Pelodiscus sinensis: one gene and its partner. The protein of the gene in region 2 purifies or fractionates together with the protein of the main gene of each other region. This does not show direct contact. Links are inferred from orthologs where the notes say so. Each region holds a gene or a part of one and is shown on either strand. Other genes may lie near its edges.

Evidence for each region.
Region 1: the proteins of KIFAP3 (region 2) and KIF3C purify together in Homo sapiens (co-immunoprecipitation; 3 studies listed by BioGRID and IntAct, counting the BioPlex papers as one, with this or other methods). This does not show direct contact. The link is inferred for Pelodiscus sinensis from reciprocal best matches to the Homo sapiens genes KIFAP3 and KIF3C.

Annotation. Positions count from the first base shown.
Region 1 is NC_134713.1:157,817-165,721, reverse strand, and holds the start of KIF3C (kinesin-like protein KIF3C), read right to left. Parts: upstream 3,033-7,905; 5' UTR 2,743-3,032; coding exon 1,366-2,742; intron 1-1,365.
Region 2 is NC_134719.1:63,602,773-63,610,259, reverse strand, and holds the start of KIFAP3 (kinesin-associated protein 3), read left to right. Parts: upstream 1-4,424; 5' UTR 4,425-4,521; coding exon 4,522-4,601; intron 4,602-5,020; exon of another isoform or gene 5,021-5,129; intron 5,130-5,213; exon of another isoform or gene 5,214-5,250; intron 5,251-7,487. UniProt on the Homo sapiens protein: Involved in tethering the chromosomes to the spindle pole and in chromosome movement. Binds to the tail domain of the KIF3A/KIF3B heterodimer to form a heterotrimeric KIF3 complex and may regulate the membrane binding of this complex.

The DNA of each region.
Region 1 (7,905 bases), on a different chromosome or scaffold from region 2:
GGGGGGAGGGGACTGTGCTGCAAGCCACATGCCCCCCACTCTGCACAGTGCAGCATGCTGGGGGGGGAGGGGACTGTGCTGCAAGCCACATGCCCCCCCCACTCTGCACAGTGCAGCATGCTGGGGGGGGAGGGGACTGTGCTGCAAGCCACATGCCCCCCACTCTGCACAGTGCAGCATGCTGGGGGGGCTGTGCCATGTGCCACGCCCCAGATCCACAGTCCCTACCACGGAGCCACAAGCTGCCTGGTCTCTGCCCCCGCGGGGCAGTCGGTGTGAGTCTCCGGCCAGGGCTGCGTAACACGAGCCGCCTCCCCCCAGGACCGTTGTGAGCTGGGGGGGCAGGAGGACACGGGGACCCCTGGGCTCCCCAGGCTGCAGCAGGGACACCGGGCCCCAGAGCCGAGCGGCAGCGCCTGGCGGCACCTCCCAGCGGGAGACAATAGGGAGGCAGAGGGCCTGGGGCTCCCACTGGCTCCGTGCCCAGCTGGGAGCTCCCCTCCCGGGGCGTCTGCAGCATCCCCGGCCCCGGCGCTGCCAGCACGTCGGCAGGAGGGAGCGGGGCCAGGACGCCTGACGGCCCTGACGAACTCAGCCCACCCTGCGCCCCCAGCCCGCCCCAGTGAGTGGGGCCACGCCAGGCAGCCAACAGCAGGGCGCTGTCCAGGGACCCACGGCAGCGCAGCACGTAAACAAGCCCAACGCTGCAGGTGCACCGCCCGGCCCGGCCCCCAGGCTCCAGCGCCCGGCCCGGCCCCCAGGCTCCAGCGCCCGGCCCGGCCCGCCCAGGGAAACAGGCCCCGCGCCTGGCCCCCAGGCTCCAGCGCCCAGCCTGGACCCCAGGCTCCAGCGCCCAGCCCGGCCCGCCCAGGGAAAAAGGCCCTGCGCCCGGCCTCCAGGCTCCAGCGCCCAGCCTGGACCCCAGGCTCCAGCGCCCGGCCCGGCCCGCCCAGGGAAAAAGGCCCTGCGCCCAGCCTCCAGGCTCCAGCGCCCAGCCTGGATCCCAGGCTCCAGCGCCCGGCCCGCCCAGGGAAACAGGCCCGGCCCCCAGGCTCCAGCGCCCGGCCCGGCCCGCCCAGGGAAAAAGGCCCTGCGCCCGGCCTCCAGGCTCCAGCGCCCAGCCTGGACCCCAGGCTCCAGCGCCCGGCCCGGCCCGCCCAGGGAAAAAGGCCCTGCGCCCGGCCTCCAGGCTCCAGCGCCCAGCCTGGATCCCAGGCTCCAGCGCCCGGCCCGCCCAGGGAAACAGGCCCGGCCCCCAGGCTCCAGCACCCGGCCCGGCCCCCAGGCTCCAGCGCCCGGCCCGGCCCCCAGGCTCCAGCGCCCGGCCCGCCCAGGGAAGCAGCCCCCCAGCACACCGACACTCACCTTGTACTTTGTGGCCAGCAGCTCGGTGGCCTCTTGCTCCCTCCTCAGCTCCTCAATCATCTTCTGCTTCTCCTCGCACACCAGGCTGTGGTCCCCCTGGATTGCCGCCTTCTCCTCCTCCAGCCGCTCCTCCTGCTCCTGCAAGTACTTCTCCAGCCCGTCCTCCGTGTCCTCGTCCCCGCCCGCCTCCGGGGCGGCCTCCCCCACCGCCACCTTCTTCCTGCGGCTGCTCCGCCTGCGCTTCCTGCCCAGCATGCCCCGGCGCTCCAGCTGGGCCTTGAGCCGGGCGATCTCCTCCTGGAACTCCCGCAGCAGCGTGTCCTTGGGGTCCTCGTTGACCCGGGGCTTGTTGCGGATGTTCTTGGCCCGGCTGGCGAAGCGCAGCGTGGACAGGCTCTCCTCGTAGCTGTGCGAGGCGGGGCCCAGGGTGGCCACCATGAGGGTCTTGGCGTTGCCGCCCAGGGAGTCCTGCAGGAGCCGGGTCAGCTTGGAGTCTCTGTAGGGCACGTGGGTGCTCTTGCCGTCCACCAGCGCCGAGATGACGTTGCCCAGCGCCGAGAGGGAGAGGTTAATCTTGGAGGCCTCCTTGGGCCGCTCCCCGGGCCCCCCCATTTTGCTCTGGCGCTCGCTGCCTGCCAAGTCCACCAGGTTGAGCTTGCCCACGCGGATGTGGTCCTCCCCGTCCGGGCCGGCCTGGCTGCACTCCACCGTGATGGCGAAGATGGCGTGGGAGCGCGAGCTGTGCTCGTTCATGTTGGTGCTGCCCACCGCCCGGGCCTGGCTGCCCAGGTTCATGACGTGCTCGATCTCCTTGACGCTCTTGGTCACGAAGGAGGAGAGGTCTTTGATGTAGACGCCCGTCTCCGGGTTCTCCTTCAGCTCCAGCTTCTTGCTCTGGTCCTTCGCCAGGAGGTCCCGGATCTCCTCCTGGTAGATCTCCAGGTAGGAGGCCCGCACCAGGTACTGCTGGTTGTGGGAGCGCGAGATGTGGGTGAAGACGTGCTCGAAGGAGCTGGGGATGACCCCGCGCTTCTCGGGGTCGGCCCAGGCCCCCTGCATGGTGTAGGTCTTGCCCGTGCCCGTCTGGCCGTAGGCGAGGATGGTGCCGTTGAAGCCCTGCAGGACGGAGTCGATCAGGGGCCGGACGCTCTCGTCGTACAGGTCGGCCTGCCTGGAGCTGGCGTCGTACACGGCGTCGAAGGTGAAGGTCTTGGCCAGCTCGCCGGGGGCGGCCCGGGGGTTGCGCAGGGTCACCTGGCCCAGCTTCACGTCCATCTCCAGGACCCTCTCGGCGCCGGCCGCCGCCTCCTTCCGGCTCATGGGGCGGCAGCGAGCCACGACCTTGAGGGCCTCGCTGGGCCGGGCTCTGCCGGCCATGGCGGGCGGGGGCCGGGGCAGGAGCGGGCGCGGGGCGGGGGCCGGGGCAGGAGCGGGCTGGGGGCGGGGGCCGGGGCAGGAGCGGGCGCGGGGGCCGGGCGGGGCGCTGCGCTGCGGCGGCTGCTGCGCTTCCCTGCCCGCCGGCTCCACCCTCCCTTTGTCAGGAGCGGACGGGACTAGGCGCAGCGCCCCCGGCCCGGCGCATCCCGCAGCCCGCAGCCCCGCTCGCTCGGTGCGCTGCGCTGCGCTGGGTGCTGCGCGCCCGGCCGGCTCGGAACGCCCTGCGCGCGGCGGGCGGGGCGGGTTGCGGGGGGCACGGACCGCCCCCCCCCCGCCCGGGCATGCCGGGAGCTGTAGTCCGGCTTTGTCCCGCCCCGCCCCGGCGCTCGGGAGGGTCCCCAAGGGGCTGGCGTGTCCCCGCCGCGAGGGACCCGCTCCAGGGTATGGGGGGAGGGGCAAGGATCCCGCTCCAGAGTATGGGGGGAGGGGCAAGGACCCCGCTCCAGGGTATGGGGGGAGGGGCAGGGGCAAGGACCCCGCTCCAGGGTATGGGGGGAGGGGCAAGGACCCCGCTCCAGGGGCATGGGGGGAGGGGCAAGGATCCCGCTCCAGGGGCATGGGGGGAGGGGCAAGGACCCCGCTCCAGAGGTATGGGGGGAGGGGCAAGGACCCCGCTCCAGGGGAATGGGGGGAGGGGCAAGGACCCCGCTCCAGGGGCATGGGGGGAGGGGCAAGGATCCCGCTCCAGGGGTATGGGGGGAGGGGCAAGGATCCCGCTCCAGGGGTATGGGGGGAGGGGCAAGGACCCCGCTCCAGGGGCATGGGGGGAGGGGCAAGGATCCCGCTCCAGGGTATGGGGGGAGGGGCAAGGACCCCGCTCCAGGGTATGGGGGGAGGGGCAGGGGCAAGGACCCCGCTCCAGGGTATGGGGGGAGGGGCAAGGATCCCGCTCCAGGGTGTGGGGGGAGGGGCAAGGACCCCGCTCCAGGGTGTGGGGGGAGGGGCAAGGACCCCGCTCCAGGGGCAGGGGGGGAGGAGCAGGGACCTCGCACACTCCAGCCCTTCGTTCCCCCATGGGCTGTGCCAAGGCCTTGCCACTCTCAGCACCTCCAGGGCGGTGGCTCGGCAGCCCCCGGCCGGTGCTCCTGGGCTCTCAGCCCGGGGGACGGGGCCCGGCTTGGGCCCCAGGCTCTGCAAGCTCTGGGCTCCCAGGGCCACCCAGCACCATGCTGGCGGGGGGCCAGGGCGCCACGTCCCAGGGAGCCAGGGTGCAGCTCTGCTCTCGCAGTTTTGGCCGGGGGGGGGGAACCCGAGCTGAGGTCCCCATGCCCGGAGCAGGAGCCCAGCCCAGACAGCCCCACACACGGGAGCCAGCGCCCTACCCTGACCCCCAGCCTCACCCCCGACTGAAGGCTGCGCCACGCCAGGCCCCACACATTTACACGGGGGGGGGGGAAGCACCCAAAGCATGGCAGCTGGGGTCCATCCCTAAGTGCCAGCCCTGGACTAGCGCCCTGGGCTCCGGTCACACAGCCCCTGCTCCTCGCTCCCTTTCAAGGGCCCTGGAGGGTCAGAGAAGCAGGGGCGCCACCGGGTGCCCCAGCCCTGCCACTGGCGGGTGCACCCTGGGGCACACGTGGGCGTCAGGCTCCACCGCAGCGTGGCTGGCGCTTGCCCACTGCTGTCCAGCGTCCGGTCTGCCCCCCGCAGGACAGAGCTCCCCTTTCGGGGCCCCCGAGCTCTGGTTTCCACACTGGATGCTCCTTTTTTAAGACTTCTGAGCACAAGCTCTGCCCCTCGCCACTCTCAGCTGCTGGAAGGTGCTTCCGCCTCGGGCAGGGCGCCAGAGCCATCTTCTGCCAGCTCGCCTGGGTCCCGGCTCTGCAGCCCGTGTTCTCCCCGCGGACGTCCGCCACCCCCGGCTGGATGGCGAGCGGCAGGGCAGAAGGCGGGTGCCGTGCAGCAGGGGTACGGCACCCCCCTCGGGTGTCCAGCCACAACTTTCAGTGCCACCTTTCTGAACGCCCATCGTCAGCGTGGGAGCCTGGCCTCTGGCGGGGGCAGAGCTGGTGGTAAATTCCTGGCAGCGCCGCCTACCCGCGTGCCCCGTCGCCGTTCCCCCCGAATGTAAACGCCGGTTTGGCTTGGATTGGGCCCCCTTGTCCGTGATCGGCAAAGGCCCCCAGGAGCCGCAGCGCTTTGCCGAACATGCGAGCGCTGCGTGGTCAGCGGGCGCGCTCTGCTGCTGACACAGCGAAGGCCTCGTGCGGGGGCGGAGGCTTTGTGTTCACAGGCCTGTTTGCACCGTCGGCTCTTAGCAGCAGGCCGGCGTTGGACCTGTGTGGCACAGACACGCCTGGAGCGACGGGCTGCAAGGGAGGTGGGGGTGTAGGCGCCCGAGTGCAGGCGTGCGACAAACCCCCAGGGCTGGAAGTTACACGCTCCCACTGAAGAGACCAGGGCTCGACTGCGGGGAACTGACCGTCCTTCTTCTTGGGCTTCTCATTGGCGAGGCAGCGGGGATCGGGGGCGCTCTTGCAGTCCCCGTGCTCACTCTGGGTGCGTGTTCACTGTGGCACGTGATGCCAGTGCCCTGTTCTGTAGTGACTCTGTGTGCGTGTGTCTGTGCGTGCGCCTCATAGAACCCCAGGAATGGAAGAGACCTCAGGAGGCATCGAGTCCAGCCCCTGCCCAAAGCCGGACCAGCCCCAATTCAATCAGCCCAGCCAGGCTTGGTCCAGCCAGGACTTAAACACCCCTAAGGATGGAGACTCCACCCCCTCCCCTGTTACCAGATTTGCCCAATACTCTGGGGTATGCTCATTTATCAGGGTTACCCTTATGGGACTGGGGGAAGGTTAACAGTTCTATCAGTGTGCTGTTGGTGCTTACTGGGGCTCTCATATGGAGCTGAATTCTCCCTGCTGCCAATTCCCCCTCCCACTGGAGCTCTCCTGCAGGAACTAGGTTCCTCAGGATGGGGTTCTTCCCACCTTAGCAACACACACAGACACTCACACACACTAGTCAGAGCACGTCTGAGAGGACTGGGTACTCAGCACTCACAAGCTGACCCCCTCCTATGTCCCTGGACTCAGCTGGCTGGGTTTCACAGCAATGCCACACTGCACCCTCATGTGCCTTTGGACTCCATGGGCTGGATTAAACAGCACTTTAAGCTGCCATCCTCATAAGCCCCCAGGTTCAGCACCCCCTATCCCCACTTTCACACCACAGTCATTCACTGGTAAACCACACGATGAGCAAACCCCACAGGATTTTGGGCACTACAGGGATCTTTTGCTTGGGTACAAGAAGCGTTGTTGCAGAGCGAATGGGGAAGTCAAAACCACACCCCTTAAGGAAGAGTGAGCAAAAGAGAAAGAAAGAGAGAGAAGCAACCAGCTTAACAATGAAAGTGATTTATTTCTGAGTAGTGAATAGATATCAAACAGTTACAATATTAAATCTAACAATTACAATATTAAATCTAAATTGAAGCTGCTTACAAATGTTAGGTAACCATATAACAGTTTACACAGGGCAGGGTCAGGAGGCTATGCTCAGAGAGATAGTTGAGAGAGAGAGAGAGAAAGAGAGAGAGAGAGAGACCTCACCACTCCACGGAGCTTGCACTGATCGGGGTTCCCAGATGATGATGGTAGCCGGGGGTCCAGAGGGCAGGAGAAAAGCAGGACAGAGCCCCCAGCACGATCAGACAGGAGATGAAGAAGTCTCAATGGAACTGATGCAGTTTAAGTCCAGGTATCAGAACAGTTTTCTTGGGACAAGGACAGGAGTTTTTATAGGGATAGTTCAAAGAGAAAGAGGAGAGACAATAGAGACTGATCACCCCTGGTTATGGGGGATGTTCCTTGAACGAGCTCACAATGCAACTAGGCAGTTTCAGTATTTTAGATGTCAATAGGATCGTTACTAGAATTGGTCTGATAATGACTAATTTGGGTGTGAGCAGGCCTAGGTTCATTAGCATCTGGAGCAGGGATTTCCCATCAGGCAGTGCTTCTCTGCTTTCGGTGTCCCATAGTTCAGTGCGGTTCCTGCCTTGGAAGAGCTGCTCTCCATTCTGTATGCTAATGAGATGTCCCTCTGTTCCATCTTTAATGCAAATGAGGCTGGGGTGTTTCCTTAATTGTATCACCCTTGTCTGAAGCAGTTTAGGTGTGTCTTCCCTGGCCTTTTCTTTGCTTTGTCTTTGATTCTAGCAGAGGCCTGAGGGAGGGGGATGGTTTTCCATGAATGTCACTCCCTGACTCCCCAAGAGCACAAGGCTGACAGGCGACCATGTTCTGGTTCCCCAAGAATCACAGAGGTGGTGGGTAACACCCCAGGGAACCCAGCACAGGGCTTCCCCACCCGCCTAGGGAAATCGTTTTTCCTAATATCCAACCTGGACCTTCCCCACTGCAACTAGACCCATTGCTCCTTGTTCTGCTTCTGCTACCACTGAGAACAGCCTCTCTCCATCCTCTTTGGAACCTCCCTTCAGGAAGTTGAAGGCTGCTCTCAAATCCCCCCTCACTCTTCGCTTCTGCAGACTAAACAGACCCAAATCCCTCAGCCTCTCCTCATAGGTCATGTGCTCCAGGCCCCTAATCATTTTGGTTGCCTCCGCTGGACCCTCTCCAATGCGTCCACATCCTTTTTGTAGTGGGGGCCCCAGAACTGGACACAACACTCCAGATGTGGCCTCACCAGAGCCGAATAAAGGGGAATGATGACATCTCTGGATCTGCTGGCAATGCTCCTCCTAATGCACCTAATATGCCATTAGCCTTCTTGGCTACAAGGGCGCCCTGGTGACTCATATCCAGCTTCTCATCCACTGTAACCCCCAGGTCCTTTTCTGCAGAACTGCTACTTAGCCAGTCGGTCCCAGCCTGTACCAATTCTTGGGATTCTTCCGTCCCAAGGGCAGGACTCTGCACTTGTCCTTGTTGAACCTCATCAGGTTTCTTTTGGCTCAAGTCTCTAACCCGTCTAGGTCCCTCTGGACCCTCTCCCTGCCCTCCAGCGTATCTACCTCTCCCCCAGCTTAGTGTCATGTGCAAACTTGCTGAGGGTGCAATCCATCCCCTCAGCCAGGTCACTAATAAAGATATTGAACAAAACCAGCCCTGGAACCGAGCCTTGGGGCACTCC
Region 2 (7,487 bases):
GGGTTTCCATTTCACTGCTGACCAGCGGGTGAGTGAAACAGACAAGTGTGTGTGTGCACACGCCAATCTGGGAGGAGTTTCCCACCATAATCTGCCACACCACAAAGCAGTACGGGTACGTGGACCATTGGTTGGTAGAGGGAAGAAAAGAAGTGGGTGTTACATGCAGCCGACCATCAGGAGAGCTGGATTCTATTGTTGGCTCTGCCACTGCCTTGGGGTGAGACCTTTGGCAAGTTACTTCAAGCTTTGTGCCTCACTTGGTCTGAAAACTTGGGACACATGGGGACATGGATTCCAAGGAATCCAGATACGACCTCCTATGAAATGCGGCTCGAAAACACAGGAACAATGCAGAATCTGGAAAATCACCTCAGTTCAAAACTGAGAGTAGAATCTGAAGACACCATTGGCTTTGAGTAACTGCGTCCCATCCCATTCCAGGACTCACGCAGTTAAAAAGTAGCATGTGTGCAGAGTCCCCCGGAACTGTATCATAATCAAGACATGAAAAGTTTGAGGTGGCTAACGTCTTCTTGCCAAAGCTGGGGATTAGGAGTCTGAGCAAGCAGTTAATCAAAAATAAAAGAAGAAACTTGTAAGTGACCTGACAAGGAACATTTAAATCTTATTTTTAAAGGGTTAGGTCGTACCAAGCCTTGGAAAATTAAATCCTCAGCTATCTCCAGAGAACTATATCTCACTAAAAAGGCTTCAGGTAAGTTTATCATGTATCCGACACCTAGACATTGGGCCTGGGGGATTCCTAGGATAATATTTCCTCTGGATTAGCAAGAAAGCTAGCAAGTAACATTTGCATGAGGCAAACTTTAAATGTAGGGGTTTTTTCCTATTACAAAATGATAACATTAAAAATGAGCTTATTGCAAAAGAAAACTGCTATGGCATCCCCCACTTTTATCAGGGAAAAAAGTCTCTTAACTTTGTTTCATTTGGTAACGTAACTGATTCAGTTCCAATGTTTTTGCGTGTTTTCTCCCTTCCACATTGACTACTAGCCCGAATTTCTTTTTATGAGCAATGCTGTTAACTTCTTTTATGAGCAATGCTTTTGAGTTCGGAGACCTCTGAGACTGGCATAATATGCAAGAGAAAAATTCAAGAGGGGAAGCTGTCGTAAGCATTTCTGGATTGGCTCTTCTGGAGTGGACCTCGCAACCTTCCAGGTCTTTCCTTCTTCGGCCCTGAAAAGCCAACTACTTGTCTCACTGTAAGACAATTGCTACGTCCCTGTCACCCTTGGGAAATTTTATACCAGAGGAGGTGCATACTCAGGCTGAGCCGGGTGAGCTAAGGACAGAGTTTGTACGATGTCTCTAATATTCGAGAGCCAAGGATGAGAAGTGCTTTATAGATGAAAAGGCCTTGGTCAAATCAAACTCCACCTTTAGTACATTGTGTTTTAGTGGTAGATGTGTGTAGGTAGCTACCTAACGTTCACCGGGGGGTGGGAGGAAGACAGGCACATAGCTAATGTGGCTGGTGTGCCCCTTAGTGCAGGAGACAGACTAGTTTGTGCACTTATATGACGATGCCTGTAAAGATGTCTAGGAGAACACGTACCAAGAGAACCCTGCAAATGTGCAGGTATTTGCTTTGCATCTGCAGGTAGCCGGATGTGAATACCTGCAGCTCATTTTTGCAGCTATGGATGCAGAAACCAATTTTGTACCTAGAATCCTGCAAATTTGCGGATATCCGTTTCCCATCCACGGGTATCGGATCTGCGAATGTGGATGCAAATACCCACAGCTCATTTCTGCAGATACAGATAGCAATTTTGTATCCGCCCAGAGTTCTGGGTATCAAACAGGAGGCACCTGTAGCTGCTAAAATTACACAGGAGAGGCCGCAAGACAGGACTGACCCAAACAATTCACAGATGGGAACTGAATTAGGGGAAAACCTGAGGATCAGGCATTAGATATACTGGCTTTAGAAAAGGTTCAGAGAAAGGCAACTAAAATGATGAGGGGTTTGGAACGGGTCCCATCTGAGGAGAGATTAAAGAGACTTGGACTTTTTGACCAGACTTCCCCTTAGCGTATCCGATTTTGCTTCGTCTTTTCTCACTGTTTCTTTCTAATGTAAATATTTAAGCTGAGTGTTTACTACCCAATCGGTAACGATGAGACTGCACGTGAGGCCTCCAGGAATTCTCCCCCTAGGACTGTCTGGGTGTGAACCCTTATTGTGGTTAGTTAGTCACCTTATCAGGCAACAACCTTTTATTTTAGCTACTAAGTTTCCAAGAGGATTTTTATACAGACCATTCATTTACAAGAGGGCCACAGAACAGACATGCAGCCACATTTTCCCTTAAGAGACAGACCCAGGATTCACCATGCAGAAGAGGGTACAGAGGGAGAGACCTTAGATTACGAGGGTCTCCTGTACTCTATTCAATTTGTAATAGTTTTGTTTTCCAGTGAGAAACAATGTTGCTAGGTTGGTTTAGTCTGTTTTTCACTAAGAAACTGAATAAACCCCAAAAGATTCAGTCAGGCTCTGAAGCAAATCAGAGTCCTTCCACTTACCTCAAGTACCACTGATGTTCACGGAAAGATTCCTGTTGACTTGATCGTGCCCAAAGGACATCCATATCCTTTGAGTCGGGATGACCTTTCTTTTATATGCAAAGAGCAACAAAACAAGAAGGAACAAAAATAAAGTTTCCCTGAGAGAGAGCACAGTGTGTGAGCCTCTCCTGCAGCAGCCTGTGTCCGAGCTGAGAAATTCTATGTTTTCAGTGAAAAATTTCAAACGGGGATGAAAATTTTTCACTTGGATTAAAAAATTGGTGTAAGATTTTGGACGTTTCATTCCATGAAACCCAAACGTTTGGTTTTCCATTTTCCTTCTTCCTTTTATCCTTCCCCTTGCTTTTCTTTCTGCCCCTGGAAAAGTGGGGACAAAGAAAAAAAAGCAGAGGAAGGAGAAATAAAAGACAGATGGTTTCCACTCTAAAATCATAATATTTACACACACAAACATTTCATTTTGGTCAAAAAGCTATTTTTCATTAAGGAAAAAAAAAAGTTTCAGCAAAAACATTTCAACCAACCACGGTCTGAACAAAAATAGGAGCTGCCTCTGCAATTAGAATGAAATACAAATAGAAACCAGATCAATGCTATATACAGCACACTTTACACTATAACCCAGGGCTACTCAACTTTGGAAGCTCCGGGGACAACAATGATACTCGCAGCACATGCTGAGGGCCACAACTTAAGTATGGTTGCACGTACATGCAAATATATATGCAAATTTATGCAAATAGCTTCTTTCACACTGACAGGCATGAATACAAAGATTAAGGCAAGACTACACAACACGCAGGCCCCATTTAAGTCCATTCTGCTGATATTAGTAAAATGCAATATTTACCTGATTTCCACTCATATGCCAGCACTTTTAACGAGCAATGACAGTCCAGGAATTTAACTACTAAAACGCACATCAACAGAAGACCATTATATTGACTACTTTTTTGTTTTGGCTCCCACCTGTGGGTTGTGTGTTGAGCCCCATACAAACCCAAACTGTACCACATGCCGCAAACTAACGGGCCGTGCCATGTTGAAGTCAGGAGCCTTGCTCTAATCTGTAATTGTAGGTGGCTTCACGATTCCTGTCTAGCCTCTGTCTTTTGAGATCACTCTTCAAATTCTTGCTTTTCTCCCAGTCTCTCTTTCATGCCATTGCACATCTTTTTATTTCCCCGTCTCCATACATCCCTCTCATCATGTTTCCTTTCACTTCCTCTTCTCCTGCCTTGGTTCTTTCAATAACGCTCACCCTCTTTCCCTCTCTGCTCCGCTTTCTCCCATTGTTAATTCTTTTCTTTCAGCTGCCCCCCAGCCCAGGTTTTACTTAGAACCAGCTGGTCTGAAATCTTTCAAAACAAAACCCCAAACAAACAAACAGGTATTCAGAGAGCGCTGTTGATCCGCTGATTGTGAAACACACCTGGTATGCAGTACCTTTGCTTTGCAGCCAGCTCTGCCTTAGGGCTTGTCTATACTTACTTTAGGATCCATGGTCCGGGGATGTAAGAAAAGAATGGAATCAGTTACAGGGATCCCCACAATGGGACCAGAAACAATTCAGAGCTCAGGTAAAGGCAGATTAAAGATTCCAGGAGGTTACGTGCATTAAAACTGTCTCCTGACACATCAGGAGGACAACAGATCCCACATTTGCTTTCCAAAAATGATGCCGGATGGATGTTTTACAGGTCGGGCTGGGAAGGTGTGGAAAGAAGACGGACAAATCAGTACCGGCTTGCCCACTGCAACCTTCCCCATCCCACCCACGGCTCTTCAGCCATGGCAGCGAGTCATCGTGATGTCACAGTTCAGCCCAGTTGTGTGCCGGGTCTGAGCCCCGGGGCGAGTAATCAAGCAAGAAGGTTTGGCTTTAAACGGCCTTTTCAGCTGAGGCTGCCCAAGGGCTGTGACCCGCAATGTGAGCGCGCCCCACAGGAGCGGTGGAAAGATGATAGCACAGCTGGCCACGATGGGGACGGCTCCCACACAGGACCAGACCCTGGATCCCCTCCCAAATATTGTAACCAGGTAACACTCTCTAGTCCCGTGGGAACTGCTGAAGGGGTGGCTGGCAGGGAAACATTTAGAAAAGCTGGCTCACTCCTGCTCCACTGACCCATCGGGTTGAGAACATTGTGGAAGGCAGAACTCCAGATTAGGGGGACCAATAATCCCATCCGGTGCATCAATCCTATGCCCTTTGTGGCCTTATGGGATTTCTCCCCTTCAGCGGGGTCCTTTTAGCCTCCCTCAGAGCTCCAAGACTGCCTGTCATTTCTCTTCCTTGACTGCACATTCACACTTCCCACCATTAGCCCACTGTAGCATGCAGAGTTTTGGGGACTTATTCATGATATTTATGCCTGTTTTGAATCAATTTTGCAATGTAGCCTGTCCAAGAGCTCATATACACACCTGCCTCTAGAATTTACCTCATGAGTACGCACCTCTAGACATGAGTCTACTCCACGTTGATTAGAAGGCTGCTCCAGCTAAGGAATCTGAGTTGGTTGGTTCCCGAGACAAGGTTTCAAAGGCCTGTTGTGTCTTAATGTTCTACAGAAAAACGAAAGATACAAGAAAATTACAGGGAATCATCACAGTTTTCTAATTATATACGGCCATACAAAGTCTAAATACCTGTATATCCTGCTTCTCTGCTGGATTCTGGCGACTACTGCAATAAAAGGCAGGAAGTCCTATTAGAAGGCTCCCAAACTAGTTACCCCTCAATGCTGATACATTAGACTAATGAACATAAGAACATAAGAACGGCCGTACTGGGTCAGACCAAAGGTCCATCTAGCCCAGTAGCCTGTCTACCGACAGTGGCCAGCACCAGGTGCCCCAGAGAGGGTGGACCGAAGACAATGATCAAGCGATTTGTCTCCTGCCATCCCTCTCCAGCCTCTGACAAACAGAGGCCAAGGACACCATTTTATCCCCTGGCTAATAGCCTTTTATGGACCTAACCTCCATGAATTTATCCAGCTTCTCTTTAAACTCTATTGGCCGAAAGGCTTTACAATCTGAGACAGATAGGAGAAGATATGGGGCAACAGGTAAGGTAGAGGAGGCTGTAGCAAGATTATTGGTGAGAGGAAGTTAGGAATGAAGGAAGAGTAGGACACAATTCACACTAGACGTTGGTAGCATTGCTGCTAGGTCAGAGCCGCATACTGCAGCCAGCAGCAAGGGACGGAGGCTGAATCAGAAACTTGATGTTATACATATTTTTAAGAGCTGTTTCTGTTTTGCGGGGTCATAATGACAGAAAACCCAACTTTTCATGGGGAATTTTGGAAAGTCCGCACCAGACTTCAAGCAGAATGGGGGTTAATTTTCTTTGCTGGAAGGAAAAAAAAGGACCTGGAACTATGCAGCTAAGAACCCACCCTGCTTTATTAGAATCTGGCTGGGAACCCTGGTTATCCAAAGTCGCCTTCTGATTGATGAGCTGGGGCTTTTTCATGATGCCACGGCTGTGAACCAACTCTCAAAAGCACACAGCTGGGACTCATCCCTGCTTTCCCCCCAGCAACAACACTTACACGCATGAGGTGCAATTTGCGACGTGAGAAACTCTGATGATAAGCAGCAATAATGTGGGCACGAAGAGATTTGCGGGGGAAAGCAAAGGAGAACAAGTGAAAGCTTTTAACTGTCAGGCTCCCCTTCCAGCAGCAACTGAGGTCCTGTCAGTGTAAAAGCTAAATTAGAACACTAAATTAGTGTCTAAATGCACTTTTTGATAAAAGAAAGTGAATTCATACTAGCTGTTGGCCCACAAAAGGCTGCTGAAAAGGCAGCTGGGTTTCTGGCCTTATGTTGGCACTTTCCCAAACAAATGTATCTTCTCTTATTAGCACTGTGAAATGAATATTGGCATCTTTCCTCGTGTGGCACGGGCATAGTCAGAACAGAACCTAGAAGGGTTGACATTTTAAAAAAGATTGTACAGGTTGAACCTCTCTAATCTGGCATTCTCTGGTCTGGCAACATCCGTGGTCCAGCATGATTTGAGTTAGCCGGATGGCCACGTATTGGGGCAGCCAAGTTTCCCACAGTCCCATAAAGTTTACAGCCGCCAGGCCTGGCTCTCAGTGTTCTGTACTGTTATTTAGCTCTAATTTACCCCTAAATGTCTTCTGAGAGCCCAGCAAGTAGGGGAAGTGTTGGTAATGCTGCTAGACAATATTGACCTCTCGTGGTTTTGCAAATTCTCTGGTTCAACATTGGTCAGATCCATGAGGGTGCCGGATTAGAGAGGTTCAACCTGTATTTGCCAAATTATCCCAATTTGCGTAAAAATGCCCACACGTTTTGCAAGATGTTTTGCAACATCATGCTCTTGGTATTCACCAGAAGCTGGAAGTGGATAACCAGGGATATGTCATTCAATAATTGCCCTGTTCTGTTCATTCCCCCTGAAGCACCTGGCATTGGCCACTGTTGGAAGACAGGATTCTAGGCCAGATGGACACAAGTCTGACCAAGTATGGCTGTTCTTATGTAATATTGGGGCTATGGTGCTTTGGTAAGCCATGCCTTCACTACCTGTTGGATTGATAAGCAGTGATTGATCCAGCAGCGGTCAATTTAGCATGTCTAGTACAGACACGATAAATCAACCACCGAACACTTTCCCATTGATTCTGGTACTCCACCAAAACGAGAAGAGTAGGCAAGTGGAAAAGAGAATCAGCTGTTGAATTACTGCACTGAAGATACAGTGGTAATTAAATCTAAGTACCTCGACTTCAGCTACATTATTCACACAACTGAAGTTGTGTCACTTAGCTTGAAGACCCCAGGGAGTATAAACAAGGCCTCAGACTACCTCGTTAGGGCTTACAGTCTCCACCTTTTGTGCGCTGTGTTTGCATAGTGCCTACCACAATGAGTTCCTGGTTC